Linked DNA regions of Caenorhabditis elegans. The protein of the gene in region 3 purifies or fractionates together with the protein of the main gene of each other region. This does not show direct contact. Each region holds a gene or a part of one and is shown on either strand. Other genes may lie near its edges.

What was found.
Region 1: the proteins of ctps-1 (region 3) and rpl-11.2 fractionate together in Caenorhabditis elegans (co-fractionation; one large-scale study listed by BioGRID). This does not show direct contact.
Region 2: the proteins of ctps-1 (region 3) and ctsa-1.1 fractionate together in Caenorhabditis elegans (co-fractionation; one large-scale study listed by BioGRID). This does not show direct contact.
Region 4: the proteins of ctps-1 (region 3) and cth-2 fractionate together in Caenorhabditis elegans (co-fractionation; one large-scale study listed by BioGRID). This does not show direct contact.

Annotation. Positions count from the first base shown.
Region 1 is NC_003284.9:2,241,007-2,247,624, reverse strand, and holds rpl-11.2 (Large ribosomal subunit protein uL5B), read left to right. Parts: upstream 1-5,006; 5' UTR 5,007-5,008; coding exon 5,009-5,143; intron 5,144-5,195; coding exon 5,196-5,411; intron 5,412-5,462; coding exon 5,463-5,639; intron 5,640-5,686; coding exon 5,687-5,749; 3' UTR 5,750-5,887; downstream 5,888-6,618. Other genes in the region: putative G-protein coupled receptor AH9.1, read left to right, coding at 617-732, 1,910-2,001, 2,048-2,267, 2,859-3,062, 3,111-3,186, 3,236-3,489, 3,537-3,602, 3,764-3,916 and 1 more. UniProt on the Caenorhabditis elegans protein: Component of the ribosome, a large ribonucleoprotein complex responsible for the synthesis of proteins in the cell.
Region 2 is NC_003280.10:4,733,993-4,741,552, reverse strand, and holds ctsa-1.1 (Serine carboxypeptidase ctsa-1.1), read right to left. Parts: upstream 3,906-7,560; 5' UTR 3,904-3,905; coding exon 3,758-3,903; intron 3,491-3,757; coding exon 2,704-3,490; intron 2,370-2,703; coding exon 2,230-2,369; intron 2,178-2,229; coding exon 1,841-2,177; 3' UTR 1,751-1,840; downstream 1-1,750. Other genes in the region: eas-1 (putative Golgi transport protein 1), read right to left, coding at 342-383, 431-512, 665-740, 789-891, 937-1,028, 1,076-1,106; F41C3.7 (WD_REPEATS_REGION domain-containing protein), read right to left, coding at 4,869-4,943, 5,319-5,391, 5,437-5,562, 5,613-5,713, 5,758-5,899, 5,950-6,110, 6,159-6,242, 6,291-6,368.
Region 3 is NC_003283.11:16,791,817-16,802,969, forward strand, and holds ctps-1 (CTP synthase), read left to right. Parts: upstream 1-3,091; coding exon 3,092-3,143; intron 3,144-3,514; coding exon 3,515-3,633; intron 3,634-4,256; coding exon 4,257-5,260; intron 5,261-6,220; coding exon 6,221-6,429; intron 6,430-6,478; coding exon 6,479-6,580; intron 6,581-8,046; coding exon 8,047-8,340; intron 8,341-9,703; coding exon 9,704-9,996; downstream 9,997-11,153. Other genes in the region: immt-2 (MICOS complex subunit MIC60-2), read left to right, coding at 229-591, 641-869; pus-1 (Pseudouridylate synthase 1 homolog), read right to left, coding at 1,027-1,440, 1,897-2,232, 2,479-2,676, 2,784-2,933, 2,987-3,136; cand-1 (Cullin-associated NEDD8-dissociated protein 1), read left to right, coding at 11,058-11,153.
Region 4 is NC_003280.10:7,055,684-7,062,843, reverse strand, and holds cth-2 (Putative cystathionine gamma-lyase 2), read left to right. Parts: upstream 1-4,883; 5' UTR 4,884-4,900; coding exon 4,901-4,975; intron 4,976-5,023; coding exon 5,024-5,645; intron 5,646-6,046; coding exon 6,047-6,528; 3' UTR 6,529-6,660; downstream 6,661-7,160. Other genes in the region: acs-6 (fatty Acid CoA Synthetase family), read right to left, coding at 111-224; ZK1127.3 (EAF7 family protein), read right to left, coding at 6,796-6,918, 6,960-7,160.

The DNA.
Region 1 (6,618 bases), on a different chromosome or scaffold from region 3:
TCTGTTTCTCGATTTTGTTAGGATTCTGTAAACAAAAAGCGCAAGAAGCTTTTCCTTGATATTCATCAATTTCATCGATTTGAAATTTGAACTTTTTATTTGATTCTGTTGACTCAAAAGTTTTGTGATCTCTGAAATTTTCTTATCTATTCATCCAAATTTACATACATCACAAATTGAACAAGTCTCGATAATTTCTGAGTTGACTAATATTTGTCTTCTCATCAAAACAAGTTCTGACCAACAAAGTGCCAGGTACCAAAGGTCCCTATGGAGCTATAAGCCAACGTACCCGTCACTTCTCGCATTTCAATTCTATCGCTGTTATTTTGCTTTTTGGCAAGTGTTTGCGCATCATCACATCATTTTTCTCACAATTCGTTTTATTTGGAAGAGTATAGGCGATCGAATTTTTTTTGGCATATTCCTCTGCTCCTTTTCAAATTAAATTTTGCCCGCCCGGTTTTCCGAGAACGCCAAAACCAGTAATCGTGCAAGATTAAATGGCACGATGCCGCCTATTCCACGAACAATATAAATATATTGCTTGCCGCCTTAACTTCTTTTCTTCTCGATTAAATGTATTTTTACAGAAATATCACGGACTTAGGCGTCCATGTTGTTGTTCTTGCTGCGTAGAATCTTCGACTGCAGATATAAGTACAAACTTTTTGTGAAAGCACTCGTTCTTTTCCTCACTATCGTCTATAACGCGGGATTGGTGCACTTTTTGTAAGTGAACGCTATGCTTAGTGCTCACAGCATTTTATTTTGCCATTTTGCAACCTTAATATCTACATATTCCAATGTTTTAATAAATTGTATTTTTGAATATATAATTGTCCACGATGGCCGAATATTGCACATCCTCGAAAATTCTTAGGCTTTTTAAACGTTTCAGTCAAAGTAGCAAATTTTTCACAAATGCAAACTTTTTAAGTACTTTCAAACATTGCTGCAGGTTTAAACTGTCCTGTAGAGTATAGATAAAATCAATTTTTGATCAAATTATGCGGAACTGTAAAAAAATCACTTTTTACTTAAGAAGGCGAAACATTTCAAATTTTTTTATAAAATCACATTTAAAGAAAAAAATCAGATTTTTTTTACGTACTTAGGCATTTTTGAGAGAGTCCAATTAAAACAATTTTTTCTTTGAGAATTTTTAAAACATATAGGTTAAATCAATAATATATTTTCCAAAATATGCTATACTTTTGAAACTACCGAGATTCGAATATTCGGCTATATATTCTAATACTATTACTAATAATATTCTAATACTATTAATGTTTGGGGGTTATTGTGAGCAACCACTCATATGGTTCCAAAACGACTGAGTATCTTAGTAAACCTTTCAAAAAAAAATTTTTACTTTTTTTCTAACTGTCAAAAAGTGGCAGTTTTTTTAAACTTGGGAGATAACATTTTTTTGAGCGATGACTTCCAAAAAAGTGGCAAAAACTGAGTTATTCCCATTTTTTAGAGAAAAAAAAGATTTTTCACAACTGTTCGACCATTCTCGATTTGATATTTTTGAAAACATCTCGATTTTGACGGATCTGGTTTTTCAAACAGAATTTAATGTCTAGTGGCATGGAGGTGTAACGGATTTCCTGCATTTTGGGAGTAAACCGTTTAGGTCTGAACTTTTTAATAGTGTCTGGTGCTAAAAATGTTTTTGTAGTTTCGATGCTATTGCAAGTAACAAAGTTCTATAGGCCATTACGAAACTTTGAGATTAAGTTTAATCATATTTTATGCTAACTTTCATTTGCCGGGGGGTTTCCCACGTTCAATATCCAAATTGAGAATCATCAAACTTCTATCCTCAGAAATGAGAATTCCTAATGAATATCCAATAATCAAAAACCTTTTTTAAAAAAGTTGTATTTGTTTTATATTTCAGCTTCCGCACCACTTCATTGGATGATTCTCCCGAAATGAATCATGTCGATTATGTCGCCCATGTCATCGTTATGCCAATCGTTTTATCCATAGGTATTTTCATTTATACATTCTGAGAGTATACGTTTTTATATTTCAGGAATGATAAATCAATGTCTGAATGTGTGCACACTTCTTCACATTCGAACTAGCATATTCCTCTACTTGAAAGCTTCGGCTATTGCCGATATTTTAAGTATTGTCGCATTTATCCCATTTCTTTTCCGACATGCCAAGCTGATAGACCCATCATGGGAGCTCGGGATGTTTTATCATGCTCATTTGGAGCTTCCGCTCATAAACGCACTTATTTCTGCAAGGTATGTACGTGGTCAAAAAGATATCCCATTTTGGTGTTTTGATAATTTTTCTAATAGTTCAAATAAGTATAGCTCCAAAACTAGAATTGTTTTCAAAAAATGTTCAACTGAAAAAATATATATCCCATGACTTTGTCTAATTGTTTTCATATTATATGTTTCTATTATTCATAAAAATCATGGAAAAAAATAAAGCGGCCGACATCTCGTGAGTCCCTTTTCGATGAGAAATGCGCTCGAATAACCTCTCCACTTTGAATTCTAATATCTTCTTTCCATATGGATTAAAAAAAAAGATAACTGTTAACAGTGAAAAATTATATGAAAATTATTTTTTTTCACAAACTGCCCTTGCGTTTTGAGTTACAGTCGTTTTAAAAAAATAATGGATACGTGAGATGTTTTTGCCATAATTTTAGGGAATGGGCCATATCTTGTTGGTAGAATTTTTTTCGATAGCAGTTCTAGTCTCGGAGTTATATTTATTGGAAAAATTAGCAAATTTATTTTTAAAAAGTAAAAGGGATAACTTTTTTTGGACAGCATTGTCTATAACAAAACATTGGTCATTAATTAAATCAACTATTTCAGTGCGTTGAATATTGTTGCCATGACAGTGGACAGATATGTGTCAGTTTGTCATCCAATTAAATTTTTTCAAAACAATGAGACAAAGCCATCCCGTCGTCGTACCATGCTCATCATTGTCATGATCTACTTTATTGCACTGATGATATATTTTCCATCAGTCTTCCAAAAGAAGCTTGGTGTCGTGACGGATGCTCTCACCAACAAGTGAGTTAATATTCTAGACAGATTTTTTTGTGTAATTTCAACTTCCAGAACGATCTACACAATTGTTCGCAACGAAGATGTGGAGGCACTTCAAGTTTTTAAATTCTATCTTATAGTAAGAGAAGTAAGTGAATCGAATTTTTTTAAAAGTAGTTTTTATGTTTAATTTTCAGTGTATCTGCCGCTGGGGTCCCGTTCTACTTCTTGTTATCCTGAACATGTGCGTCGTTCGTGGCCTGCGGAAAATTGACAAACGTAATTGGTTCTGGAGACAGCCATCACAAAACAGTCGGACTGAAACATTAGCTCAACGCCAACTTCGGTCGCCGCGCGATGATCGCAGTCGTATATCAGTTCTTCTGTTCGTTACATCTGCTACTTTTATCATCTGCAATATTCCTGCCTCCGTTATATCTTTCTTCGTTCGGTAAGTCTTAATATTTTGAGAATTCTTTGAACTGGACAGCATTTCAGACGAGTTAGTGGTTCATTGTTTTGGCAGATATTCCGTGCCATTGCAAATCTTCTTCAAGTCACAAGGTATGGCTACCTAAAACAAAAAATTAATTGCTTTTTTTCTTTTTTCAACTCTCCAAAAAATTCAATACATGCTATGGTTTTTTTCACTTCTTGTAAAATTCAGTAGTTTATGAAAAGAGCTCAAAGCTGAAAGATGGTTCCAAACCTTTCCCCGTTTTCAGTTATCTCTACAACTTCTACCTTTATGCTCTGTGTTCTTCTGAATACCGTCACGCATTTCTCCGACTATTTGGATGTAGATCAAGCTTATCGCCAACTTCCACTGGCGACTCTCCAACCGTTCGAGTCTCAGTTCACGGAAAGCGATGTCATCAGTGAGTTTTTCCCCTCTCCGTTTCAAAAGTCAATCATAATCTCCGTTTGCAGAGCTGTCGTCCTTCTTGGAAACGAGAATCATGAAAATCCAGTGGATGAAGTTTAATCGTTGTTATCATATACTTCTAGTTGCTTTCCTTTTCATTTTACTCAAAAATTTGTTTCCGGCCTTCTTTCAATTGCTTCCATCAATAGATCTCTGTTCTGAAACGGTTAACTTTCAATTGTGATTCTCAAAATTCTTGTCAACCTATTCCTTATCTGTTCTCCTCATTTCCAAATTTCTGTCTTAGGTGATTTTGAATGACCGGTTGTTCTTTACTTTTTTTCTGTTGCTCCAAAAACGTTTTCATTTGAACACATTCCAATTTCTTTTTACATTACCTTTTTTGTTGCATATCTTACTGATTTGGACCTTTTTTGTTCAATTTTTCACATTTAATACCGTTTTTTTACAATAAAAAAATGTCCGGATAACTAAATTTATTTAATAATGGCTCAGGCCCAAAGTCTTACCAAATCAACGGCGGCTCCGTGGAAACATGTCCTGTACAGATTCTAATCGATTGCTTTCCATCTGCCAAGCGAATTTGTATGTGTGGCCCAAAAACGCAAAGACCCCCGGGTTTGCAAAGGAAATATCACTTGGAAGTGGGAGACTCGAGATGACGCGAGAGATGTTGGCATTCTGCCAGCGTAAAGTTAGATGTGCAGGCAGGACACACAGCCAGAAACGAGTGTTACCGTAGTCATTTTGCCTCTCGTATTCTGCAGGAGAATTTCCGATCTTTCCTTTTTTCTTGTTAAATTTTAGGCCCTTTACAATTGGATGACTCGAACTTTTTTCAATCGAAAGCTTTGTTCAATGGATTTTCATAATTTAATTCGCGTTTTTGTTAGTGATTATTTTAATTTAGGGTTATTAGTTAGAAGATGATTTTTAGGTGGAAAACCTTTATTAGTTTGTTTATTTTTAGTTTTTTGGGTTTTTCTTTGAAATTCTCTGATGTTAGAAATTTGCAATTTTCTTTTTTGTTAATTTGTGCCGTTACATTTAAAATTATTTTATTGTTATTTACCTCTTTACAGACATGGGTGACATCGAGAAGCAGACGGAAATCCGCGAGAAGAAGGCCCGCAATGTTATGCGTGAGCTCAAGATCCAGAAGCTCTGCCTCAACATTTGCGTCGGAGAGTCTGGAGATAGACTGACCCGTGCCGCTAAGGTAAGTTAATTTTCACTTGTTGCAGAATATGAACTGAATTATTTTATTTCAGGTGCTCGAGCAGCTCACTGGACAGACCCCAGTGTTCTCCAAGGCCCGCTACACCGTCCGTACCTTCGGTATCCGCAGAAACGAAAAGATCGCCGTTCACTGCACCGTCCGCGGACCAAAGGCCGAGGAAATCCTCGAGAAGGGACTCAAGGTCAAGGAGTACGAGCTCTACAAGGAGAACTTCTCCGACACCGGAAACTTCGGATTCGGAGTCCAGGTAACCATTGCAGAAGCGATCTAGTCAGCTGTAAGTATTAATGAATTGCAGGAGCACATCGACTTGGGAATCAAGTACGATCCATCGATCGGAATCTACGGAATGGACTTCTACGTTGTCCTTGACCGTGCTGGACGCCGTATCGCCAAGAGAAGACGCGCCCCAGGACGTGTCGGACCATCCCACAGAGTCGAGCGTGAGGAGTCCATCAAGTGGTTCCAACAGAAGGTAAATTTTCGCTTCATAGATACCTTTGTTCATCTTCAAATTTTCAGTATGACGGAATCATCCTCCCACCAAAGCCAAAGGTCAAGCGCACATTCCACCGTCGCCGTTAAGAAAATTGTTGATTTTTTGACATAAACTGTTATATGTTGTACCAGATTAAAAATGATGTTTTTGGGGTTGGGTTGAACTTTTCAGAGCACAAAAACCTCAATCTTCTGAACACTGAAAAGTAAAAAGCTTTAAAAATTAACGTGGATTCGCAAAGGAAAAGATTGTGGGAAAAACGTCAGAACTTTGTGAGCACTTTATAGAGAGATAAGTCTGTTATTTTAAGATATATCAAGTGATTCGATAAAACCTTACGACCTCATTTTCTAGGCGCGTCTAAAAATAAATCTAGAATTATTTATTTTTTTCAATTTAAATCATACAAGTTACGTTGCTTAAACAAATGTGTCGAATTTCGAGTTCATAACGCAATTATCGGATCTATGTTCCGAGAGTTAGCGGCGGGTTTTGAACAAAAATAATTTGACGGTCCTTGGTATCTGATATGTGATCAATTCGAATTCCTGAAATATTTCTGGGATTTCTGAAAATATATTTCGAAAATCGAAAATCGAAAATTCGAAAACATAAATAAACTTAGTTTCATTGCGTATATGAAATAAATAAGACCAAACTTATTTGAAGATTGATAAAGCTATTGTTAATGGTTCATGATTTGTATATTTTTCAGCATAAGTCTGTAAATTTTTGTAAAGAAAGCTCTATCGGCTGCTCAGATATGAGCTTAAAAGTCGAGTGGCACCAAAAAGCTTGGTAAACGCTATGTACAATATTGGCTCTATAATGGCTCACAGTTGTTGAAATTGTCAGCCAACTCAGTTGCTTCAAGTCGGGCTTAAAGATCATAAAATATTAAAAATCGTGCTTTTGCATGTTTTCAGTTATTTCCATGATATGAAAAATGAAAAGT
Region 2 (7,560 bases), on a different chromosome or scaffold from region 3:
GAGTCATGTAATGGATATCGAGTCAGAACACAAGAAAAGGAAAAAAGGGAATCTAATAAATAATTATAATCACATTTTTCACCTAGGAACAGAAGAAAATGAAAGCGTATTATACAACAAAGGCTGAGGGATATTTTAGAAATGAGATAAAATTTAAAATTTTTAATAATAAATAAATTAAAATTGAATAATATTACACAGAAAATGTGCATTTTGGCCGAAATCGTAGTTGAACCGAACGTGATATGAGAGGAGAAGGGACAACACAGGAGAAAATATTTTCAACAAAAAAGAAAATAGAACCCATTTTTGGTGAGATTTTTGGGAAGATCCTGAACTTTTCAGACGGGGTACTTGGATTCTGGAGCAAGGCGATCGAGGACCTAAAACTTGAAATAATTGATAAAAATCCTGATTCGTTAGAACTGACCTGTCGGATTCCAGGAAGATATGTGATTGTTGAGATTCCGGGGATACTTCTGAGCAAATTGACAATTCCAGGCAGGAAACCACTGTAAATTCATTATTATTAGATTAAATTTAATTTCGTGAGCGATTAGTTCAAAATGTTTGTTACAAATCGAAGAAAAAGAGCAGAAAATTCAAGATATTGATTCTATTGCAAATATTTAGAAAACTCAACATTTTTTAGTCAAAAACTCACCCGAAAAGGACAATAAATCCCCAACACTCGGCAATCATTCCGAACAATGGGTACCCAAATAGAACTACCAAAATCCCTGAAAATAAATTTTTAAATTAAAATAATGAATTCCTTGTGATCGAACCTCCGAAGAAGAGAATGCTTCCTTTCAGTTTTCGGAATTCGAAGAAGAAAACAAGTGTTCGCTGCACGCCGATAATAAATGTGATTCCAACAATGAATAGAAGCTGAAAATAATAATTTTATGCTTTAAATTTACAATAAATACTTACATTTCCGATAGCTAAAAGAGCAGAATCAAGGAACATCAGCACTCCGAGAAATATGAAAAAGAAGCCGAACGTCGTTAACCCCACTCCGATTTCTGAAATGTTTCACAGTTTACATATATTTTCTGATTTTCAAACTTACGTTTTGTTGTGCTTACTTCGAAATTCATCATTTTGACTGGACCCAAGTGGTTTCTCTTTTAAACGGCTGAAAAAAATTAAATTCTCAAAAGAATCGGTCATAGAAAAACAAATAGAAGAAGATTATTGATTTTTTGAAATAAATTTGCGTTTCTTTTTAGCAAATGAAACTGATTTTATCTCGAATTGAAAAATTTAAGCGAAAAATCGGAAAATAAAACTGGAAATTCCGCGGAAATGACGTGTACGTAAAATTGCGGACCACGTGGCCGCCGTGCATTTCCGCGTGGCCTAGAAACTCGCACATGGCCGAAGTAGCGAAAATCGGCGGGAAAAAGGAAAATTTAAATTTGAATGGTAAACTTTTGAATTCGTAGTATTTTCGCTCAATTAATACGATTTTTATTGAGAAATTGGACAAAAAGTAACTATGTTGGTTGGAAGTGCCACAAAAGGCATTTTTGAGATTTCAAATCGATATTTTTTCGAACAAACAAGACTTTCCAATTATTTATTGACTATTTCCAAAGGTACAACGTATTAATAAGTAGAACATCAGTTTTATTAATCGAAATTACTTGAAATTTTAATCCAAACGTCATATGAGTAAACCGATTACAGTTATTTGGAAGCTTTCTGAAAAATATTTCAGTGTATTCGAAAATCACAAAATTTAAAAATCAAATTTCATTATTCAAAACTTGGAAAATTGACCAATAGATTGAAAAATAAATAAGAAGATAAAAATATTATTTGTTCTCCAAATTTAAAGTGGATGATTATTCAGGAACTGTTGAACGGCGTAGTACATTTGTGGAGCTCTCCATTGTGGAGCCATATGTCCAGCTCCGCGAATAGTGATGAAACTGAGCCCATCGAAAAGTGTCTTGAATCCGGCGATTTGTCTATCATACTTCCATGGAGTCTTTTTAAGTGTTCTACGAAGTCCAAGTTGATCAGAGAATTGCTGTCCCATCATAAAGTTGCAGGCCATATCAGTATCTCCATAGTACAAAAGAACTCTGACGTGGTTCTTGACGATCTTCTTGATGAATGGAGTCATATCGGTGTACTGCTTCTGGTAGGTAGTAGTCACCTTGTCACTGAAAATTTTTGTTTTGATCTCTGGGCTTGGGCTCTTTGGCTCAGGCTCACCTGCAGATATCCCATTTTCCAAGATTGAATGGAATGTGGATTGCCTTACGAACCTTTGGATTGTTCATATAGGAGAGCATCTCAGTATCGTTGAGGCATGGAACATCAGCCTTAAGTGGCTTTTGGGATTGAGATTTGTTCTGAAAGATACAAATATGAAGTGACTGCTATGGTGGTAATTATTGATCAAATTAAAAAAGTTTTAAATATGCAATTTGACCAAAAAAAATTCTATAACCTTTTTCCTATTTTAATTTTTTTTACTTGGATGGCAAAAAAATTGTTTGAATATAATCCTTGCAGGGTTTCGTTCACAAAACAATTTTCAAAGTTTTCAAAAAAAAAAACTGCTGATAATGATCTCATGACCGTGACACCTACCGTGACACTAGGTGAAAACTGAGTACTGAAAAATTTTCTGAAAAGTTTTCCAATGATATTTTTACATTTTCCCATTGCTGCTACCCCACATACTTTCAAAAATTGATAAAGGGAAGTCTTTGTTTGATTTTTCAAGAGCTCATCAAAATGGGCCATTGCTGGAGCAACTCCTCTCAACATGTGCTTCATTCTCTTGCTGTTCACTGATGGATTTGGATCACAATCTCTGTACAAATCATATGGATTCAATCCTCCGAACCACAAGAATTGGAAGATGTCCTCAACGAGAGTTGCACAGTGTCCGGTGACTTGAGTCAAATCACATGAATCAATGCATCCTCTGCAGCAATCTCTCTCAAGAGTATTCCAGATCTTCTCATCAATAAGTCCGTGTCCATAAGCAAATCTGACAGAGGTATCAATGTTAAGCTTCTCATTAACATATCCATTTCCAAGTGCCATTCCTTTCAAGTTAATTGGGAAGTCCTTTTGTCCATCAACAATTCTTGCGGTAAGAGTTGGAACATAAACTCCTCCATAAGACTCTCCCATAATGAATGTCTGATGATGACGGAATTGTGGGAATTCAGTGAAGAATTGTTTGACAGCTTCGTAGTTCTCAAGAGAAGTCAAATCATCGTTGGTTGTGATGTTTCCATCAGTGGCATACGAGTAACCAACTCCAGCTGGAGACTCAATATAGACAACTGAAGCCATTTTGTTCCATGAGTACTCGTTTTCACGAAGAGTCTTTCCATCTTCATTGGCAACATATGGTCCCATTTCATTGAGAAGTCCGTCCAAGGAAGAGCATCCTGGTCCTCCGTTGAACCAGAAGATCAGTGGGTCGTTGGATGGCTCGTTTTGGGATTCGACGAACCTGGAATAATGATTTAGGATGATTTATTAGACAAGCCGGTATGAAGGCAAGCTCGCATTCAAAAGATTTTCGTTGTGTAAGTTGTAAGATTTTCGTGTAAGATTTGTTGTGTAAGATTTTCGTTGTGTAAGCTTCTGAACCTATTTCACACCTTGAACACTGTTTCAAACAACCTTTCGATCGACGAAAAATTGAAAAGGTACAAGACTTTTTTTACTTTCATGCTAGTTTGCACTTTTTAGGCTAACTTCTGTCCTTCATACTCACCAATAATGAAGCACATGGTTATCCGAAACTTGGAAGAATCCGGAATAATGCTTGAAATTCGGCTCAAAGTCCAATCCTGGCAAATCCTTGATCTCTTCTCCACAGGTCACCCCGACGAAGAAGGCGAGAAGCAGAAGGGTTTTCATACCTGAAATTCAATGAATTAGAGGTTGAGCATGGAACATGACAAGAAAGAAAAACAGATATCTTGTGATGTTTGTCTGAGACATTGGAGAGAAGGAGGCGGAGTCTCGACTGTCCCATAGGGGCGGAGCCAGAAGAAGGCAAAGGACAATTTGAGGACAATGTGGATCTGTGAAGATTGGGGAGATGGTTGTGCACAAGATTTGAATTTGAAAAAAAAAAGATTTGATTTTGATAAGATAGAGATCAAACGACTAGTGCCATCGTGTACTCTATAAATTTCTGTGAGGCAGGGGAGAACCAGCTTCAGGAAATTTAAATTGTCTATTTTTTGTAGTCGTAGAGTACTAAATGTGGGCAAGTTTAAAGGTCTTTCTTAGCTTTCCTATTGGAAGCAGGTACTAGTTAGTTAGAGTCCGCTTTAAGGCAGGTAGGCAACAGGTGGAGTACGGAAATCTGACACATTTTTAGACTTGAAATGGCTCAAAACTATCGAATGTCGTAATGAGACCTTATGAAAAATTCTCAAAAAACGTTATTGCTCTGGCCTCTGAAATTTCTATTTTTGCCAACTTGCCAAAGTCAGAACAAGAAACGAAATATTTCCAGATTTTCCGATTTTTTATTAACGAAACTCTTTCAAAAAATTTTGCGGCGCAGTCAATTTTGGTTGTCTCATTTTTACCTGTTCAATAGAACATTTCTTCCAGAAACTTTTTTATCTTTTCTGATTTAAATTCTTTATTTCTCTCACGCCATGCTGAAGGAGCCAATATTACAACACGCAACGCGATCAACATTCAATAAATCAATTTATATCAAAAAGATTGTGGAGAAGAAAACGAGACAATCATTTTTGCAAAGAAATGAAGATAAGAGAAAATATTTGTGAGCAACGGCGGGTTTTTAAGCAGGCGAGTGATGGATTGGGGTCAATTGAATGAGGATCGGTAGAGGCTGGCACCGATCACTGTTGGCCACTGGTCGAGTCAATGCCAAACACCACAAAGTGAACTTCCGAGTTGGTGAGAATCACAAACTTCTGAAAAAAGAAAACATTTTAGGTGATCGCCAGGTGGCCAGAAACCATGAAAAAAAACGTTTAGAGTTGTGGATCCTGATTTCGTTTTAAAAAAATTGGGGCGTCAGTTCAAAGGCACAGGCTGTTTTCTGAGTGACTCTCGTCATGGATTGAATTTCCCTTATTTGTTCAATTGATATAGAAAGAGATTAATTGGCCAATTTTTTGTAAGACAAAACAAACGTTAAATGAAAGATAAATGTTTTTAGAATCTGGGACCGTGTTTGGCAGATTTTAAAAACCAATTTTTATATTCAAAATCTGATCTTCCATTTAACGTGTGTTTTGTATACCCAGAAATCATGTTATATGCTTATTATTTTCTTTGTTTCATACCTGAGAATATGTTAAAAGTAGTTTTGTGCAATGGTTCAGGTATGTTGTGAATAGTTGATCTCGATATTTTCTTCTAAAAAATTTTAGTACCGTGTAAACAAAGACTGCAACTGCATACCCATTAGGTTTCAATTTCCAAACTGAAACTACGCCGGCAGAAGTTAAGGAGTACAAATTCTCCTCGTCGCAAGCCACGTCTACTGTATATTCAGACGATCCAAAGCAAAGTTGATGAGATGGATTTCTGAAAAAAAACTGTTTCTTTAAAAATTGAAGCTCAATTAAATTGCATACTTTGGTTTATCTTTTTCCCAGACAAAACAAGTTTGAGAAAACTTATCAAAAATCATGAGCCGATCTTCTCCAAATTTTCCAATATCTCCAGTTGTGATAGTCTGAAAATATAATTGCTAATTTCCGCTAGAATTGCCAAAATGACTTTTTCTGTCTCATAGTTCTCGTAATCCAGTGGAGAATCTGATGTGAAGCTAGAGATAAACTTGTTCGATAGCACATAAATTCGATTTTCAATTACGAAGCTAGAAGAGATTGGATTCAGTAGTGGAGAGCACTCGAAAATTCTGAATATACATTTTTACAATATATCTCTGTTTCCCTATTAAAAACCAACTTTTCCTGATTCTCCAAAATAGTAACTTTTCCGGATCCATTCATATAACACGGACTTCCATTTAAAACAAGTAATGAGACGACATCTGCCACGTCATCATAGGTTATCATTTTCTCCAAATCATCAATTTCCATCATCAATATTTTCGATGAGGAGTAGAGCTGGAAAATGTGTACTGATAATCTTTAGAAGTATAGATACTTGCACACCATCACAAAATTATGGCTCGAATATAGGCGAACTTTTTGATGCGCAAGAAAATAATCATTTTCGATATTATGTAAGATACTTTTCTGAAATAAAGTTAATTTGATAAATTTGATAAATTTTTTGTAACTTACGAGGAGATTTTTCAAAGATCTCAGTTCAACAAAGTATCGGTTTTCTTGAGGTAAGAAAAGTAGAAGAACGAAGATATTCTGGAAATTTGGGGTGTTTTGGAAAATTTTGCTAATAAAAAGTTATTGTGAATACACTATGAGGATGTCCATTTATATTTAAAAAATCAAATCTTAAAGTTAGAGTCTGTAATGAATCTGCAAAATGCGTCAGTGTTGCATGTTCTCCCGATATTTTTTATTCGAACTTGGTGATAAAATATGGTAAAATATTTGCTTTATTTGAAAATAATTTTAATTTTATTCAAAGCAATTGAAAAATTTCTCACTTCTCAGAGACGTTTGTGAGAGAATCCACGGAATAAGGAAGACGCATGGAATTCTACAACACTTTCCAATTTTTCATTCAATAAATCAGATACAATTTCCTTATACAGAATCCTTAACCTATACATCCTTTTTCACATGGATCCGATTTCACGGGTGTGCTAAATTATTGTTACAAGAGAATCAGAGAAAAAGAAGCAATGATTGAAAAGTGAATGGAACACACATAGTCTGCGTCTAGCCTTCTTCGTATTCTGATTCTGAATCTCGACGGGAATTCCGACGGGAAACGAAACTTAGAAAGAGAGAATTACACTGCGCATCTCTCGTTTTCTATACACATTCTCTACAATTCCCTTCAACGGTTGACCATGTTCGGATAGTAGGCATTGAATATTTTTAGTTAGGAAGAAGGACAGACCTAACACTTATATATCAAAGTTTTTATATAGTCAATTTTTGCCTTAAATGTGGGTTTTAGTTTTAGATAGGCTCTTTTAGTACCCGTAATTTATCTATCAGACTTGCACCCTTGCTCTACTTTGAGAGCCTACATCTCGATTCTGTTTAGGTTTATCAAAAAATTGTCAACTGACAAAATACGTGTAAAATATTTTTCTACATTTAAACAGATTTGCATATTAGATGTAGAACAACTAAGTTGCCGAAACAAATGTTTGCTTCCTGAGGCATTATGCCCACATCGAGAGTTAACTGTATTTCCTCTGTTTCATCAGAATATTTGCCTGAAAGTAATAAGCTTTACTAGTAGAGGAAATATTAAATAACCTAACAATAAATTTAATCGACACTAGTCTAAGAATGATACGGTTTGTGAAAATCTTTCTTTTCTTTTAATGTGTCAAAATTATTTGCTTTCGCCCTCCTGTCTCCCCCTGCGGTCACTATTTTTTCTTATTCTCCCATTCCACTTTTCTCTATTTTT
Region 3 (11,153 bases):
TTTTGGCTGAAATTTTTGGTATTTGGCAATTTTTGCTTGATTTTAGCATTCCAAATAGTCAAAATATCGATTTTCATTTAAAACTCGATGAATTATTGATATTTTGACTTTTTTTTTAGTTAAATTCAAGCGTAAACAGTCCAAAATCGACAATTTCAATCAAAATCCGCCAACTTGTGCGAAAATGTTTTGAATCAAAATCTGAAAAAAATCCCACCATTTTTCCAGATCGAAACAAATGTGGCTAGCCACCCAAAATCTGAAGGGAACTGTAATTTTCGGAAATCGAGCCAGCTGCTGCATGGAGGGAAGACGTGCTCCACTGGGAGATCAAATGAAGACACTTCTCTCGTGCTGTGGTGGTGGAAACTCTGATGAATTCGTGAAAACCATCAATACGGCAATGTCGAAAACCTCAAAAGTCCGCGGGGAGTACACGGAGCAGGATCTGAACACACGCTTCAACAAAGTCTGCCGAATCGGACGTCGTGTTGCCTATGTCAATGAAGGTGGAGCTCTGGCTCATCTCTACTCGTGGCTCAAGTCTTCCCTGACTATTGAGCTCGTCCCGAAGAAGGGTGCTAATGAGAGGTAGTAGTGTCTGAAATGATATCTATCTGTAAAAAAACTATAATTTCAGCCTGACCCCAGCTGTCGAGAACAACTTCACCTTGCTCACACGTGCCGAGCAACTCTGGAAGTCTGGCAAAAAGTCCGACGCGATTCGTGTTCTTCAGCTGACCGACGGGGCCACCCGTAGAGTTGCTGCCGATTTCATCGCTGATGCTCGCCGCCAACACGAGGCACTTCTTCTTTCACGTCTTCTGCTCGCCCACGCGGCTCTCACCTCCATTCGTTCCACTTATTAATAATTATTGAATATGCCAAGTAGTACGTCGTCTGTTGTCTGTCTGAGAATTATGTGTTCTCTCAAAATAATAAAATTATTATTATTTTTTACTTTTAAACAATTTATCAATCAACAAAAACAACAAATTTTACAGCAGTTAAATCAAAAATTATAAATTATCCAGACGACGTCGCTGCTACTGGCTCAGGAGTGACTTCTGCTGGAGCCTCGGCTTCCTTCGGAGCATCTTGAGCCTCTGGAGCAACACCATCCTGCTCCTTGGCCGCCTTGCTCGCACAAGCCGCCGCCATCGTCACAAAAGTCTTCTTCTCGGGCTCCTCAGCTTCCGCATTAGCCGTGAAGTCGTGATGAACAAGATCCGCAAGCCATTTGAGCATTCCCTGAGTGAGCAGCTCCGTCTCGATCATATCCTTGGTGATGAGCTCGAACTTGGTCCGCTCGATTTCTTTTTCGATGATCTCTCCCCAATCGGTCAGTGGTTCGTGGGATTTTGAATTCTTTCGATCGTAGGAATCGTAATGAGTCCGCTCGAGGAGGAGACCCAGTCCTGGAGCCATTGGGATATCCATCTGAAATTTTTTATTTTTTTAAGTTTAAAAGTTTTCGGCTAAAATGCTAGATTTTTGCACTTTTTAATCTCTTTTTCATTTGGATTTCGTTAGAAATTAATTATTTTCGTCTAAAAAAGGTGTTAAACTCGTGAAAAAGCGGCAAAATTGCGCGAAAACTGTTAAATTTTGCGGAAAATAATTCGAAATTGTCCACGAGGAGTACACGCTTGCGTAAATCTACACAATTCTTAAAGGGACATGTACCTCGTGCGCGTGATCTCGCAACGATGCGCGTTTGCCGCTTCAAAATAGGGTTTTTAAAATATTTTTTGGTGAAAAAGATTTAAAAAAACACAAATAATGTTATATTTTCACACTTTCGACGCGAAAATATCGAAAAAATGTTTAAAAATTGTGTTTTTTCGACTGTTTGAAGTTGAAAAAACACCGAAAAAACAGGAAAAAAACACGAACTCGCTGTCCCTCGAATGATCTTTGAATCGACGACTTTAAATGCAGTTCCCGAATGACTGTAATCACCATTCCGACCATTTTTCGAATCTGATGAAGTACAAATGATTGTCCTTTAATCACAATTTGCACGAATTCCACGTCTTCTTTACGAAAATCGTCACGAAAAAGGAATGGTTCTTTGCATTCGAATGAGATAATGTATCGATTGGAGCTCATATCATCGTAGGCTCTTTTAGCGGTATAATTGAAGAAATTGTGGGTTCCGAGGTAGATTGAGAGAATACTGTTCACCTCTGCCAAGGTTTCCGGGGAAAGTCGGAAAGAGGAGTTGGTGAGCTGGAAAATCAAGAATTTTTAGAGATTCTCACGGAATATCAGCGGGAAATTCGATTTTTCGATCAATTTTTGCCCGAAAATACAGGTTTCCAGTCTTTTTTCGCCTGAAAACTTGATTTTTCAGTCTATTTCCGCAGAAAATTCACATTTTCAGCGTGAAACTAAAATTTTCGGTCAAACTTTGCCGGGAAATTCAATTTTTCAGCTAATTTTCGGCGAAAAATCCAAATTTAGCCTCTTCTATACCTCCGTAGGCTTTGCAAACACAAAAGATGGACACGTGTAGCTATAGGTTCGATGATCACACTGCTTCTGTGGATGGAAGAAATTCGTGGTCCGACGCATTCCAAAAACACGAATATCGGCTGGAAGAATGTTGTTAAGAATTCCAGCTCCCTCAGCTTGATACTTGGCGTCATCTCTGGGTAGTTGCATTCCGCACATCTGGAAAAATGATATAAAATTCGCTATTTTTTCCTTTTTTCAATGAAGTTTTTCGGCTTTTCAGTGAAAAAAACACTGATAACAGCAGCAAATTAGTAAACTCCAACCTGTCTAGCAGCTGATACTGCCCTATCAGTTCTCGCCGCTCTTTGAAAAAAGAAATCAAATGGTTTTTCTTTTTGAGCGGTCGTGATCCAACCGGCCGTCTCCATTGCCTCAAGAAGCTTTGATTCAATTGTGGGCAGGTCTTTTTGAAGCTAAAAATTAATTAAAATTTATCAATTTTGACCTTTTTTTTATCTTATCAGACCTGCATGCCGTAGTATTTTTTGCCTTGATAGCCTAAAAGCATCGCATATTTTGCCTGCTTTACTCTTGGCTTTTTAGGTTCCTTGTGCACACCACCCGATTGAACATGGTTGAGCTTGTCGACGGTTTGCTCCTCAACGGTTTTTGTCATGATTCGGGTGAGCCTTTGGAGCAGTTGTTTGAGCATAAAATAGGGCGAATGCCGGCTGAAAGAATTAAATTTTTGATTTTAACAAAAGAAAATAGCGAAAAAGATCACAAAGTATCAAAATAAGACGAGAAACTTAAAAAGAAAAAACGCAAATATTAAATACAAAAATCGAAGGCAAAGTCACGCCATGGGTGCCTGCTGGCGCACTTCGTGCCAGTGTCATTGGCGCGTTTCTCGTGCCCGCGAAAAAAATTTAAAAACAAATTTGTTTTGCCATTTTTTGCCTAAAAACACTCGCGTTTTTTGATTTTTGACCTCAAAAATGTGAAATTTTAATTTCATAACACGAATTTTATCAATTTATCTCGTCTATTACAGAGATGCCGGGCGAAAAACGCGTAAAATACATTCTGGTGACCGGCGGAGTCATTTCTGGCGTCGGAAAAGGCATCATTTCGTCGAGTTTGGGCGTTTTGCTCAAAAATAATGGATACAAGGTAATTGCGATCGACATATGTGGCATATTCCTTGAAGGATCAGAAACGGAGCAAACTGATAAGCGAATTCGCTAGCGAACACTATTTTTTATCAGAAAATTTGAAATTAGTGCTTAAATGATAGAAAATGGACCGTAATGACAGAATATGACTGTTAAAATATGTATAAATTTGCTATGATTTCGCAAATATTCGAGAAAAAGGAGTTATTTTTCGAATTCCCGGACAAGTACGTTGTCTCGGTATATTTATTGGGTTTTTTTTCCGTTTTTCTCCCTAATATTTGATTTTAAACACCGTGTTTCAACTTTTCAGACAGTTTTCCGCAAAAAAATCGTATATTTATGTGAAATTATCGATTTTTAGCCCAATTTTGATGTTTTACCGGGTTTCTCTCGCGTTAATCCGAAAGAAATTCGCAAAAACTTCAAAATTGACCTGAAGTCGATAATTTCACATAAATTTATCTTTTTTGTGGAAAAATAGTGTTTTTGATCAAATATCGAAGAAAATATCCAAAAATACAGCCAAATAACGCATTTGCTCTGAATTTCAATAATTTTTTACAGTTATATTCGGTTCATTTTCCATCGTTTAACACAAAAACCCGCCGCATTTTCCAGGTTTCTGCGATCAAAATCGACCCGTACCTTAATGAAGACGCCGGAACCTTCTCCCCGTATGAGCACGGAGAGGTTTTTGTTCTCGATGATGGAGGAGAAGTTGACTTGGATTTGGGTAACTATGAACGATTTCTCGACATTCGTCTGACTCGTGATAACAATATTACGACGGGAAAAATGTTCAAACACGTGATGGAACGCGAGAGAAGAGGCGATTATTGTGGAAAAACTGTTCAAATGATCCCTCATTTGACCGATGCTATTGTGGATTGGATTGAACGAGTTGCGCGGATCCCTGTTGATGGAACCAGTGAGCAACCCGACGTTTGTATCATTGAACTCGGTGGAACTATTGGGGATATAGAAGGAATGACATATCTCTCGGCATTCGAACGATTCCAACGTCCAACTCTTAAGAATGACTTGATGAATGTTCATGTTTCGCTGATATTACATCCAAACGCCACCGGTGAACCGAAAACCAAGCCAATGCAGAACTCTGTCCGCCATTTGCGGGCCGCCGGTCTTGTGCCGGATCTTCTGATTTGCCGTTCGACTGAGAAGCTTGATCCTCACCTCAGAGAGAAGATTGCCGGGTTTGGAATGATGGATTTGGAGCAGGTGGTTGGTGTTCATGATGTGTCGAATATATACAAGGTTCCACTGCTTCTCCAGCAGCAGGGAGTGTTGGAAGCGATTACTCAGCGTCTCAGATTATCGGAAATCTCTGAGAATATTAGAAAAGATTTGAAATTCAACATGAATCACTGGACTAATCTATCGGAGCTCTGTGATACTTTCCAGCAGGTTGTGAATATTGCACTCGTCGGAAAATACGTGAAAATCGCCGATGCCTATGCTTCAGTCAATAAAGCTTTGTCTCATGCTGCTATTCACGCCAAACGGAAGCTCAAGATAACCTACGTCGACTCGGAGCTTTTGGAGAATAAGCCAGGAATGGAAGAACAGTCGAGAGCCGCTTGGGATAGTGTGAAGGCTGCTGAGTATGTGGAAAGAAGGAAAAAAATGCTAAAATTTCTCGGAAAACGGCGTATTTCTAGCTGAAATCACGATTTTTTCCAATTTTTCTAGTCAAATTGGACTGAAATTGGCAAAAAAAAGCTAAATTTTTTGTTAGAATATGGAATTTTTTCCGATTTTTCATGTTGGAGAGACCGAAAATTGGTCTCAACAGGTAAAAATTCGGCGAAGATGCTCAAAAAATGCATTTTTGAGCCATTTTTCACATTTTTAAACTGAAATTAAAGATATTTTCTAACCAATCAAATGTTTTACTGTATTTTGACACTTTTTGACACTAAAGGATTATTCGAAAATTGTCGTCGAAAAATAGGAAATTAAGCCAAAATCTGCGACTTTACGGGTTTTTCATGTTAGAGTGACTCAAAAATGGCCAAATATCAATGAGACTTCTTAAAAATTACTCATTTCCCGAAAAAATGAATATTTCTAGCTAAACTCTCAATTTTTTCCAAATTTTCCATGTCTCAGCGGCGGGAAATTCGATTTTTAAATTTTCATAGATTCTACTGTGTCAAAATAGCATGAAAATTCCCGAATTTCGACGAAAAAGGGGAAACTTCTTTTTTTGACACTCAAAATTTCCGTTTTTTCGTCGAAATTTGGGAATTTTCATATTATTTTGATCCCGTGAAAGCGATGAAAGTTTGAAAAAATCGTATTTCCCGCCGCTGAGACATGGAAAAATTGGGAAAAAATTGAGAGTTTAGCTAGAAATATTCATTTTTTCGGGAAATGAGTAATTTTTAAGAAGTCTCATTGATATTTGGCCATTTTTAAGCCGCTCTAACATGAAAATTCACAGATTTTTACTTAATTTCCCATTTTTCGACGACAATTTTTGATTATTCTTTTGAAGTTCGGGATTTTATGCCATTTTTAGTGTATTAAACCGAAAAATATCAAAAATTTCAAATTTTCAGCGGCGTAATTGTGCCCGGAGGATTCGATAAACGTGGTGTAGAAGGAATGATCAATGCAGCAGAATACTGTAGAAAAAACGATGTTCCATATCTTGGAGTTTGTCTGGGAATGCAAGTGGCGGCTATCGAATTCGCTAGAAATGTTCTGAGCATCGACGGAGCCAATTCGACGGAATTTAACTCGAAATTGCACGAAAATCAGCAGATTGGTAGGCTCTGAAGATAATTAATTCATTAATTAAATTGATTTTTTTTCAGTGATCGATATGCCAGAACATAATGTTGAAGAGAAGGGATTGGGTGGAACTATGCGTCTTGGAAGACGTTCTACAGTATTCCTTACCGACGAATGCATTCTTCGTACGTTTTCCAGGAGATTGGAGTTGTTTTTCAGCTTTTTCAGATAATTTTACCTATGAAAACTGCAATTTTTGGCGTTTTTATCATAGAAAACCGCAAAATTTGAAGGCTTCAAACAGGAAAACCCTGATTTTTCAGGTTTTTGTGCTGGTTTTTCTCGTAAAAATGTGGATTTTTACCTGTATTTTACACAGACAATTAGAATTTTCCATGAATTTAGCAAATTAATTACAAAAAGTGGAGTAGCGAGACTCAAAATGGCCACAAAATACATAATTTCATAGTAAAAATCTGGAAAAACGCTAAAATTAGCGAAAAGTTCCAATTTTGCAAGGTCTCCTTGTCGTTGCTGCCGGAAATAGATTTTTATTCAATTATCGCAATTTATTGTGTATTTTGTTCGTTTATCCTTCGTTTTTCCTTTTATCGACTGAAAATGTACCCTAATAAATGAAAAAAACACTGGAAAACCCCACCAAAATGATCCAAAAAAAGCGAAAATTGAATAAAAACCTATTTCCGACAGCTACAACAAGGTGAAGCTTGCGATATGAGAGTTTTTGGTGAATTTTGCGTTGTTGAGATTTTTAAAAGCTGTTTTACTATAAAATTCGGAATTTTGTGGCCATTTTCACGTTCGCTACCTCCCTTTTAACATATTTGTAATTTTTGGCAGAAAAACACGGGAATTCGTCCAGAAAATCGAATTTTCTGTGTTAAAAACCGACGAATATGCATTTTTACACTGAAAACAGCACAAAAAGCTGGGAAATGCTTAGAAAATTGGCATTAAAGGTGAAAAAGCCCTAGAATTGCTTTAAAACACCGAATTTCGCAATTTTCTCGGCTAAAACGGACAGAAATTGAAATTTTTAATGGAATAATACGTCAAAAAGCTGAAAATTTCAGAAAAATGCGTCGAAATTCGCATAAGAACTGAAGAACGTCCTCTAAATAAAACTCTGGTTATAGTTTCGTTAAAACGCCGAGTTTCGCAATTTTCTGTGCTAAAAACGAACAGAAATTGCAATTTTTGTCGAAAAAATATCTGAAAGAGCCTAAAAAATAGGAAAAAGCGGTTTTTTTTCTCGAAAATTTGACTCAAAATTTGCAAAAATCTGAATTTTTCAATTTGTTGCGGTTTTAGCAACTTTTTGTGACAAAAAATTTATTTTTTAGACTGAATTTGGTATTTTTAGGCCTATTTTCAAACAAAAAAAAAGAAGTTTAAAATATCAGAAATTCGGATTGAAAAAGTTTTTACTTTTTAAGCCTATTTTCGGAAAATAAGCTTTAAAGTAATAATTTCAGCTGAAAAAATGACTTTTTAGGTGCAAAACATGGAAAAAAACGTTAAATTTTGCGATTTTCTAGGCTAAAACGCACAGAAATTGCCATTTTCATCAGAAAAAGCTGAAAAAAAACCCGCCTAAAATCAGAATTAAAAAAAAAATTTCTCATTCCAGACCGTCTCTACGGAACTCACACAGTGGAAGAACGTCACCGTCACCGTTACGAAGTGAATCCCCACGTTGTTCCACAAATGGCTCGGAAGGGATTCTTGTTCGTCGGAATGGGTGTAGATGAACAGAATACTGATATTTGGGATGTTAAGAAGCGAACCGACAGCTCGGCGGAGCTTATGCAGATGGCTGATCAGACTGAAATTGATTTGTTGCACAAAATTGATGATTTGTGTCAGAGAGGAGGCGATGGGGTTACTCGGCCAGCTGTTCGTATGGAAATGTTCGAGATGAAGGGTAAATATAAGGACGAAAATTCAATTTTTAAGCCCTGGCAGACAGATTCTCATACAGAAACCTTCAAATTTTAAGAAAAAAAAGGCTAAAATCTTAGATTTTGCCATTAAAAATGTTTCAAAAATGTTTTATGGCGGTTAAAAATTATGAAAAAATGCCCAGCTTGTAGCTAATTAAGCGGCCGAAAAATTGATTTTTAATTGCTTATTAGTTCACATTTTTCGTTATTCCAGGTGCATTTTGCCTACCTATAGACCTTAAATATACCTAAATCAACGAAAAAACGTGCTATTAATGACAGAAATAAGACAAGATTCAATTAAAAATCAATTTTAATTAGTTCGAAAGTTTGAACCGTAATAAAAAAGTTTTGAAACATTTTTAAAATATCTCAATTCAAAATGTGTTTATTTTAGCATATTTCGAGTTTACACAAGCTATTTCATGAGATCAATCGATATTCTTCTCGCTTTAGTTGCTCCAAATCGATAATTACCTCTGGAAATTGCGTCCTGGCAATTTTCAGAGAGAGCGAACGCGCTCCATTGCGAACCATTTGATTTTGAAATTGATGACTCTCTCTCTGCAAGTGGTTACGCAATTTTCTTTGCTAACAGTTAATTTTTTTCTCAAAATCTGCTGGTTTGGCCCTGTCACTCTTAATTTAGGCCGTTTTCTCTTAGTCGTATTTTTCTACTTTTTTAAAAATTCTTACCAAGGGTGTAATTGGAGAAAATCGAGAAATTTCGATTTTTTAATCAAATTTTTTTTGTGGAGAAAAACATAAAAAGGCATATTATTTTCTTATAAAATGTGGGAAAACACCCCAAATTTTCAGCTATTTTCCGAGAAATCGACTTTGTTTTCGAAAAATCAAAAAAAAAAAAAAAAAAATTTCATTTTTTTGATAATTTTTATTCAAGTTGACGAGTAAAAACTATAAGGAAATCGATATTTTTCTTCAAAAATGTGGGAAAAATAGCCCAAATTTTAAGCCATTTTCCGGACAAATCTACAATTTTTTTTTTGAAATTTCAGAAAAATTTTAACAAGACTGTCAAAAAAAAATTCGGCTAAAAAAAAGAAACTGTTGGTTTTTTATCGTCATACCAACTAAAATATAACATTTTTGAAGAAAAAAAAAGAAGTTTTTTGGTCCGAAAAACCTAACAAAAATTCCATTTTTGGAAGTTATTTTCCTAAAAATCTAAATTTTTCTGGTGAAAATCGATGAACAAACTTTAAAAAAAAATCAAATTTTGTTTATGCTGATAAACATTATTTTATTCATTTTTGAGAAGATTTTTCAAAAAGTCGAAATTAAAAAAAACCGGCACCCCTTGAAGCTTATCTCCAATTCCAGACCACCCATACTTTGTCGGAGCCCAATTCCATCCCGAATACCTTTCCCATCCACTCACTCCATCTCCACCATTCTTCGGTCTTCTGCTTGCCGCAACTCGTCAACTTAATTCATATTTCTCTGGGTCAAGAAGTCCGGCTCTTCAAGTTGTAAATGAAGAGGAGCATCTTCATCATACAAAAGAGAATGACTCGGAGGAGAAGCGTGAAGATGTTGTTGGAGCAATGTTGGGGAAACTGAAACTCGAGGGAAATGCTGTGCCAGGAACTCAGAGATTGGCTTCTTTCCATTAATTGTTTCCTCAATTTTTCGTCGTTTTTTTTCACTTTTTTTGTAGTTGAGTAGATGATTTTGTCAGAAAATCGTCTTAAAATTTGCAGAAATTGACCGATTTTTTGCCTTTTTTTGAGCCAAAAATCCATTTTTCGAGCTGAAATCGCTGAATTTTTGGATTTTTTGCAGTTTTTGAGCCAAAAATCCATTTTTCAAGCTGACATTGCTGAATTTTTGGATTTTTGCTCTCCGAAAAGCTATTTTTTGTGCGAAAAACGGGAAAACGCTCAAAACTTGGTATTTTTCGATTTTTTTTTCAATTTTTGCCGTTTTTTGAGCTGCTTATCTTAAAATTTACATTTTTGCGCCAGAAAACTCATTTTTTCAGCCGATTTCCCAAAAATATGCCTAAAAAGGAACACTTTTACCCCGAAAAGTGGTTTTTTTTTTTGAGGCAAAAATGTTTTTAAAAATCCAAAATTTGAGCGAAATATGTAAAAAATGGCTTTTTCCACCAAAAAACTATTTTTTGATCTGAAATTGCGATATTTCAAGCTTTTTTTCCCAAAAACTGGCCTAAAAATACCAATTTCAGTCCAAAAAATTATTTTTTGACTCAAAAAATTGCCAAAATCCGCCAGAAAAACGAAAAATTCAGATTTTTGCAAATTTTGAGTCAAATTTTCGAAAAAATCGACCCTTTTTCGTCAATTTCAGACCATTTTCAGACAAAAATCCCTCCAGTTTTTGTTGTTTTTATTCTTATTTTCTGATATTCCAAAGATAATTTTCTTCTTTTTTTTCGCATTTTTCTCGTCGTTTTTGTCCTTTTGTTATCCTTGTTTCTGTTTTTTTTTCATTAATTTCTCCCATAGTCACCTTCATTTTTTCCCGGATTTATTCAATTGTTGACCCAGTTTCATAGATTTTGTTCTCTACCAACACCCGATGAACTTCGTTTTTAGAGTTTTTGATCACTTATTTTGGCGCCCAAAATTGTCTATTTTCTTGCCTCTTTTGGTTATCTTTTTCACGTTTTCAGACCCCGAAAAGTGATTTTCAGACCAAATTTTGTTTCCAGATGAGTGCTTATCATGTCGGGCAACTGGTCGACAAAATGTCGAATCCGGATAAGGATTTCCGGTTCATGGCTTGCAATGATTTGATGAAAGATTTG
Region 4 (7,160 bases), on a different chromosome or scaffold from region 3:
TTCAATCTATATTGATCTTCAATTACAATAGATAGTCTGACACAACTTCCAATCCTATTCTACCATTAATCCAAATTCCGTAAATAAAAATTGTTAAGGTAAGAACTCACAAAACAAACGGCATCTTTGTTAGCTGAAGCGTGAATGCGACAAGCTTCGAAGATTCTCTCATGAACTGTAGTAGTTGACAGCTTTACTGAAGCAGCTTTGGACACGAAAACCATCTGAAAATGTAATTTTCTTTGATTTTCTATTAGAAATATTAATTCTTGTCAACTTAAAACATCCACGAAAAATAAACTGGTGAAAAATTGTTGACAATTTTTATATTTGAAAAAGATAACAATAAAGTTGATTTAAACTTATGATTCGCTTTTTTAGAACCACGTTGAACACTTATTAAGTCGCGTTTTTTTTCTCAATGAGATTTGAAATTATGGGCAAAAAGTGTGGCAGACGTATTTTTCAATCTATCAGCTGTGGATTCTGAGATTTTTTGAAATTTACTACAACCAGACTAGTCCGAAAGTATATCAATTCTTATTTTTCTCTCCAAAAACGGGAAGTTGAGAAATTTTCTGAGACACAGTCAATTTGCGGTGTATCCATCAAAAGCCTTTCAGTATGGATATTATGAACGTACGTCTACAACAAAAGTGCACACTGCAACTTACAAAGGCGTTTGTGAGCCATTATACGTACACATCGTTTTAGAACTGTTCTTACTTCTCAACAATTCCAAAACCCAAAACTTACATTTATCAGAAAACTGAATCGGTGTCAAACGTTCTTGCGATGATATCAAATAGTCGATGTAACTTGAGTAATGAACAAAAATACAAACTGATTTTCGATCATTGATATTCGAAATTGTAGAGTAAACTAGAATGTCACGTTGAATTATTCTAGATTTATATAATTTTCATAATTTTTAGAAGGTATTCACGGTTTCTCTTGATTCAATTTATTCAAAATGTATTGATAGATCTCGCAGAAAAATCAAAGTTATTTTGATACTTTTAAAATCAAGCATCATCCCATGACTATTTTGCCAGTTATCATAACGCAGTTATTTGAAATTCTTATGAATTCCTTTGTAAATGTTCAGTTATCTGAATGAAAACCTAGCTATCCTGTAAGTCTTTTATGGATGGCCAAATGCAGAACGAAGTAAAAAGTCTGAAGCCCATATAATCAAAATTTAATTTTTGGCGGAGAGTGAAAAGTGAAAATTTTTCTGTTAATATTTATGATAAACCAACATGATCGAATATTGTAATAGGTTATTCCAATAAAAGTTTTTGTAAAGTGCCAAAAATGTTTTTGGTAAACTGCCAAATTTTTGAGTGTTTTTTATTTAATTTTGAGAAATATCGAGCAATTATAAAGTTTGTAATATCTACAAGGTGTGATTACATTTATTTTTATTAGTTACCAAAATAACTTCACTTGTTGTTTATTATGTCTTTAATATCTGTAAACTTCGTAAAGTTTCAATCCCAATGCTGAATGCTCAAATTTCTCTGTGCTCTTTTCTCCTCTTCACACTTTTTCCGCTTTCCGCTTCTCTGTTCCGCATCGATTTTCCATCCGCTTCTCCCATTTCCATCTCTAGTTTCTTCTTTCTCTTTCTACTCTTCATTTTCCACCAATTCGTTTCGTTTTCTGTATATGATCAAGTTTATTTTAATTCCATGTACTAATTGCCAAATTAACCATAAACATCAAAATTCCTAATCAAATCCTCAATTGCTGATGAAATAATTTCTAAAACTCGTAATATTTTTTCTAAAGAACACATCGTAGTCATTTCATTACTACAAAAAAACATATGTTTTTCCTATAATGATGACAAAACACAAATCGACACGAGGAGGTCAAATGATGACAATGACAAATCAGAAAAGTTGGAAGGAAACGTATATAAAAGGACGAATTATGAAGTTCAGTTGCTAGACAATATGTCTATTTGCTTTTCAACTAACAAGCATAAAAAATTTGCACTTTTTTTTAACTTTGAGTTTAACTTTCAGCTGAAAATAGAAAATTACACTGATATTTTCAAAAATTCTAGGAATTTTAAATGTCCTCTGCATTCTGAACTTGAAATTGTCAAATATCAATTTTCTTTTTCAGTTTTCTATTTTTCAAAGAGCTCTTCAACTTTCAAAAGTCCCCATCCATCCGACCAGTAGTTTTTTGTAAAGTATATCATTTCTCTTCATCTCTCAATCATTATGATCTCTAACTCTTCACATCTATCAACATTCTCCATTCCTTCCAAACGGCTGATGCAACTGTCTGCCGCGTGCCGCTCAGATTGAGGGGCGGGAGGTGAGCGGACGCAAAGCAGCGTCCATATAAATTTGCGCAGGAGCATTCACTAGACATGCCATTCTGACCTTTTTCCTCTCTATGTCTATTTAATTTTCAAATCGTAAAAATTTTATAATTTTATCAAGTGAGTAGCACATGGCGAGGTTGGTTTGTTATCTTGAAATTGAAATTAAATTTGAATTTCTGCTGACAAATGTTTTTGAGATAGTGACGTATGTGTCACTGAACTCTTATCAATTGTTGACATACTTAATGAAAAAAACGGAGAATCAAACTTCAATAATCTTTTGCTGTTCTACTTCTTAATATGATATAAGTAAGTATGTTCACAGACCTTTAAAAAATCATTTTTTGTCTACTTTTTCTAGTATCCAGAATACATAAATTGCTTATTATTATTAAAATTAAAAGGTGGGCTTAATTTTTACGACAGTATAGACATGAAACATTTTAAATTTTCGATTTTCAGCCAAGTTCCGGTTGGTTTAAGAATACGAGGTCACCTTCAGAATGTTCTGATAGAATTGAAAATAGCTTTCAAAATAATTATTTATTTGAGGTTTATTAGATCCTTCAGTGAATGTTTTGGCAAATTCGGCAACAACTCCACATTTTTACACCTTTGGTGAAAATTATTAATCTAGTTAGTTAATCTAGTTAATCTAAAATTATGGGTACTTATACATTTAAAAAATTAATTTTTCATTCAAGTAGCAAATTGGTAAAACCTGCTTTCTGATCACAAGCAATAAAATGTAAACCTACTGGTAGCAACTCTACCTATTTCTAAATCTAGAAGAAAATGCAATTGATCAATAAATTGAAACTTTCGCTTTCTTTTTCCTCCTCCTCCAAATTCAAGACTTCCTGCAAATGAAATGTCGTCTCAAATCTTATCTTTTCCACGCCAAGGTTGCCAATTAAAAAACACGTCACAATTATCATCATTTCTATGTATTCAATCCCTATCTGCCTCTTCCAAATGATATTTTGAACTTGAACTCTCTCCTTCTGGTGCCCTTTGTCCAACTGCTCGAGACACACATGTGGCTGGTTTGCAGTAGACACAACGAGAGAATGAGACAAATTCTTCTCTCTTTTTGATAACGAAAAAATGATACGAGACATAGAGAAATCGATGCTTTGAGGATTTGATTTCATCGACATGTTTCTCAAACAAAATACCACATGGTAGACCTCCACGTGGGGTGATTGGCACTGGAATTTGAACTTTTTGAAAAAAAAAACTGTAACATGTGATAAATATTATATCAACTAAACGAAGGAACAAAATAAACATTAAGATAGTGTTCAAACTGCACAATTACGTGATTTCAGTTAATTTAAAATTCCTTCAAGACTTTGGAAACTCTAATAGTAAGTCACGTCAAACTGTGTTATCTTTTGTTTCAAGATCGTCATTAGTAAATACATTTATGATTACTGACTTTCATAGTTTGTAAAAAAAAATAATTGCAGCAAGAACTCTTTGTGAACTTGAGCTGATACATTGTCATGATACTGTTGGCCTACTGTAGTTTGTATGCAGAGCCAGTGGAGATTTTCAAAAAAACTCATCTTATGGTGCTAAAATATAGAAATTTTTATACATCCTTAAATGTTTTCGGAAATTTCTATTATTTATACAACGTTGTAATTACTTAAGTTAGTTCTCTTCTATCCTTTTGGAAGTCGATCAAAATAACATTTTCCACGATTTTTAAGTTTTTACTATAAAAACAAATATTAGTAGGGAGGGATAGGGTCGGGGTACTGTAGGATTAATGTATTTTTGTAGAAACCTCTGTTTCTATTAAAATGTTTCTATTACTAGTATTAGGCCAATTCATGTTAAAAATTAAGATTCTGGTTCGTAGAATGTGACTTGACATTATACAATTCAAATTCCGAACTTTTCAAAAAATACTATAGAATTTACAAATATTCAGCTGTTCACGAAAAAACCATATTTGAGCAATAAAAATTGTTTTTAACCAACATATAAAAACACCACAGAATCCCCAGAAATGTCAAATTTATTACCAAACTTGTGCCAAATACATATTATTTTTTGAAGTATGAAAAATACGCCACCTATCAGTCGTTAATCTTATCTTTTATTTTTCAAATTTCTCAATTTCCCACGCTTCTTCTCATATCCGGTTTTTTCTGCAAAATGGTCTCGTTTGGAGATTTGATAAGAGTGTTTATTCCAGATGTGTACATCATTCAATAGTATCAAACATTGTTCATTCCTTCTTTGCACATCACTATTTATTTTTCTTCTTTTCTTCCGTTTTTAACATCTTGTTTGCCTAATCAGCTACATTCTGTAAAATCTAAAAATAATAGAAGATTAACGTCTTTTTGACCAATGTCAAGAACGTTTTTTTCTTTAACGATTTCATTGAAACTTTCGGCGTGTCGACCGACCCTTCGTTTGACCCCGCCCCTTTCATTCGTTCTTTTTTCTTTTCTCTCCTCTTTCTCTCACACTTATAAATCCATTTGATTATCATTTCTCGACATCAGTCTTCTTATTGCAGCCTGTCTCAAGATTAAAATGGCTACTTTCCCACACTTCGGAACTGCTGCTATCCACGTTGGACAAGAACCAGAGCAATGGGATATGAATCAGGTTTGTCATAGGTATTCTGAATATAAATACTGAACTGATACTTTTCAGGTGGTCCCGCCAATCAGCTTGTCCTCGACCTACAAACAGGATAATCCAGGAGAGCCAAAGGGACACGATTATTCTCGTGCTGGAAACCCAACTCGTGATGTTCTTCAAAAGAATCTGGCTGCTCTCGAAGACGCAAAACACTGCCAAGTGTTCTCTTCAGGACTTGCCGCAACTTCCGCAATCATCAATCTTCTCAAGTACGGAGATCATATTGTGTGCTCTGATGATGTCTACGGAGGTACTCAAAGATATATCCGCCGTGTTGCTGTTCCTAATCACGGATTGGAAGTCGATTCGGTTGATTTGACGGATGTTCAGAATCTCGAGAAAGCAATCAAACCAAATACCAAGATGGTTTGGTTTGAATCTCCATCTAACCCACTTTTGAAGGTTGTTGATATTGCCGCAGTGGTCCAAACTGCAAAGAAAGCCAATCCAGAAATTGTTGTAGTTGTTGATAATACCTTCATGTCTCCATACTTCCAACGCCCAATTTCTCTTGGAGCGGATGTTGTCGTTCATTCAATTACCAAGTATATTAATGGACATTCTGATGTTGTTATGGGTGCTGTTATCACTGATAATGACGAGTTCCAACAACATCTTTTCTTCATGCAACTTGGTTAGTTTACTGTGCTGTTGTACGCAGTGAAATCTAGTCGTATAATTTTGTCATTTTGAGGCATAGATACGGTAACCGGTCTTGAAGCTAGTGAAACTTGGCAGCTACTGTATTCGCAAGTGCTTCGAATTTTTTCTTAACGGTTTTCACTGAATTTCAATATTAATTTCTTCGTGTTTTTCTAGAAAAGAAATCAGTTTCTCTGCTTTAGAAATCATATAAAATACATTGGAACTATAAAAAAAATTGCTAAATACTTGTGGGTACTGTAGAAGCAAAGTTTCGCTCATATCGAGAACATGTACCTTGAGTCAAATGTCGCAAAATTATAAAACTGTTTAAAATCTCATTGGATAGCTAAATTAATCGTTAACTCAAAATTTTAATGCTATTATTTTCAGCCGTCGGAGCAGTCCCATCTCCATTTGATTGCTTCCTTGTTAATCGTGGACTCAAAACTCTTCACATCAGAATGAGAGCTCACTATGAAAATGCTCTTGCTGTTGCCAAATACCTTGAAGCCAATGATCGTATCGAATCAGTTCTCTATCCAGCTCTTCCATCTCATCCACAACATGAAGTTCATGAGAAACAAACAAAGGGAATGTCTGGAATGATCTCATTCTATCTTAAAGGAGAACTTCAAGAGAGTCGTGCTTTCCTTTCTGCTCTCAAAGTATTCACTTTGGCTGAATCTCTTGGAGGATATGAATCACTTGCCGAGCTTCCATCTATCATGACTCATGCTTCAGTGCCTGCTGAAACTCGAATTGTTCTTGGAATCACTGATAACCTTATCCGTATCTCTGTTGGAATTGAAGATCTCGATGATTTGGTTGCTGATTTGGATCAAGCTTTGAAGATTGCCATTCCAAAAGTATAACTTTTCAATCATTTTATGATATGCATTTGTTTCAAATCTGAAAGCCGGTACTAGTTTTAATTGCCCACTCGTCTCCACCACAACCTCTAACTAATCGACTCAAATTGTGTCTTACACTATCCAATAAATTTTTTCTATGAAAAATGATAATTGTTATTCGAAACAGAAATTGGAATACATAACATGATATTTTGCAATTGGTATATGAAAGAAAGGTACACATTGAATTATAATTAGATAGCGTAGAAGGAATCATAGAGAGATCATTTAAGTTTGAATGTCATAATTTTCATCTTCTTCTGTCAATCTTCTGGGGATGGTACTCTTCTTTTCCGACTCGACGATCCCGTTGTCTGTGTTTCTTTCTCTTTCTGCTCTCTTATCTGAAAGCTATGAACAAAAATAAGCAATATCTATTGTTTCAAAATTACCTCGCGCACTTCAGCCATGATATACTCGGGAAGTTCGTAATCGGTGACACTATTAAACTCGCTTGGATACGATTCATTTTCTTCACAGAATCTCAGACCGAACCATTTTTTGAGCTTATCTTCGATCATTTCAAGTGAAGGACGACACAAGTATTTAGGCGGATATGAAGTTCGTTCTGGGCGTCCTCCCATCAAGAGGTC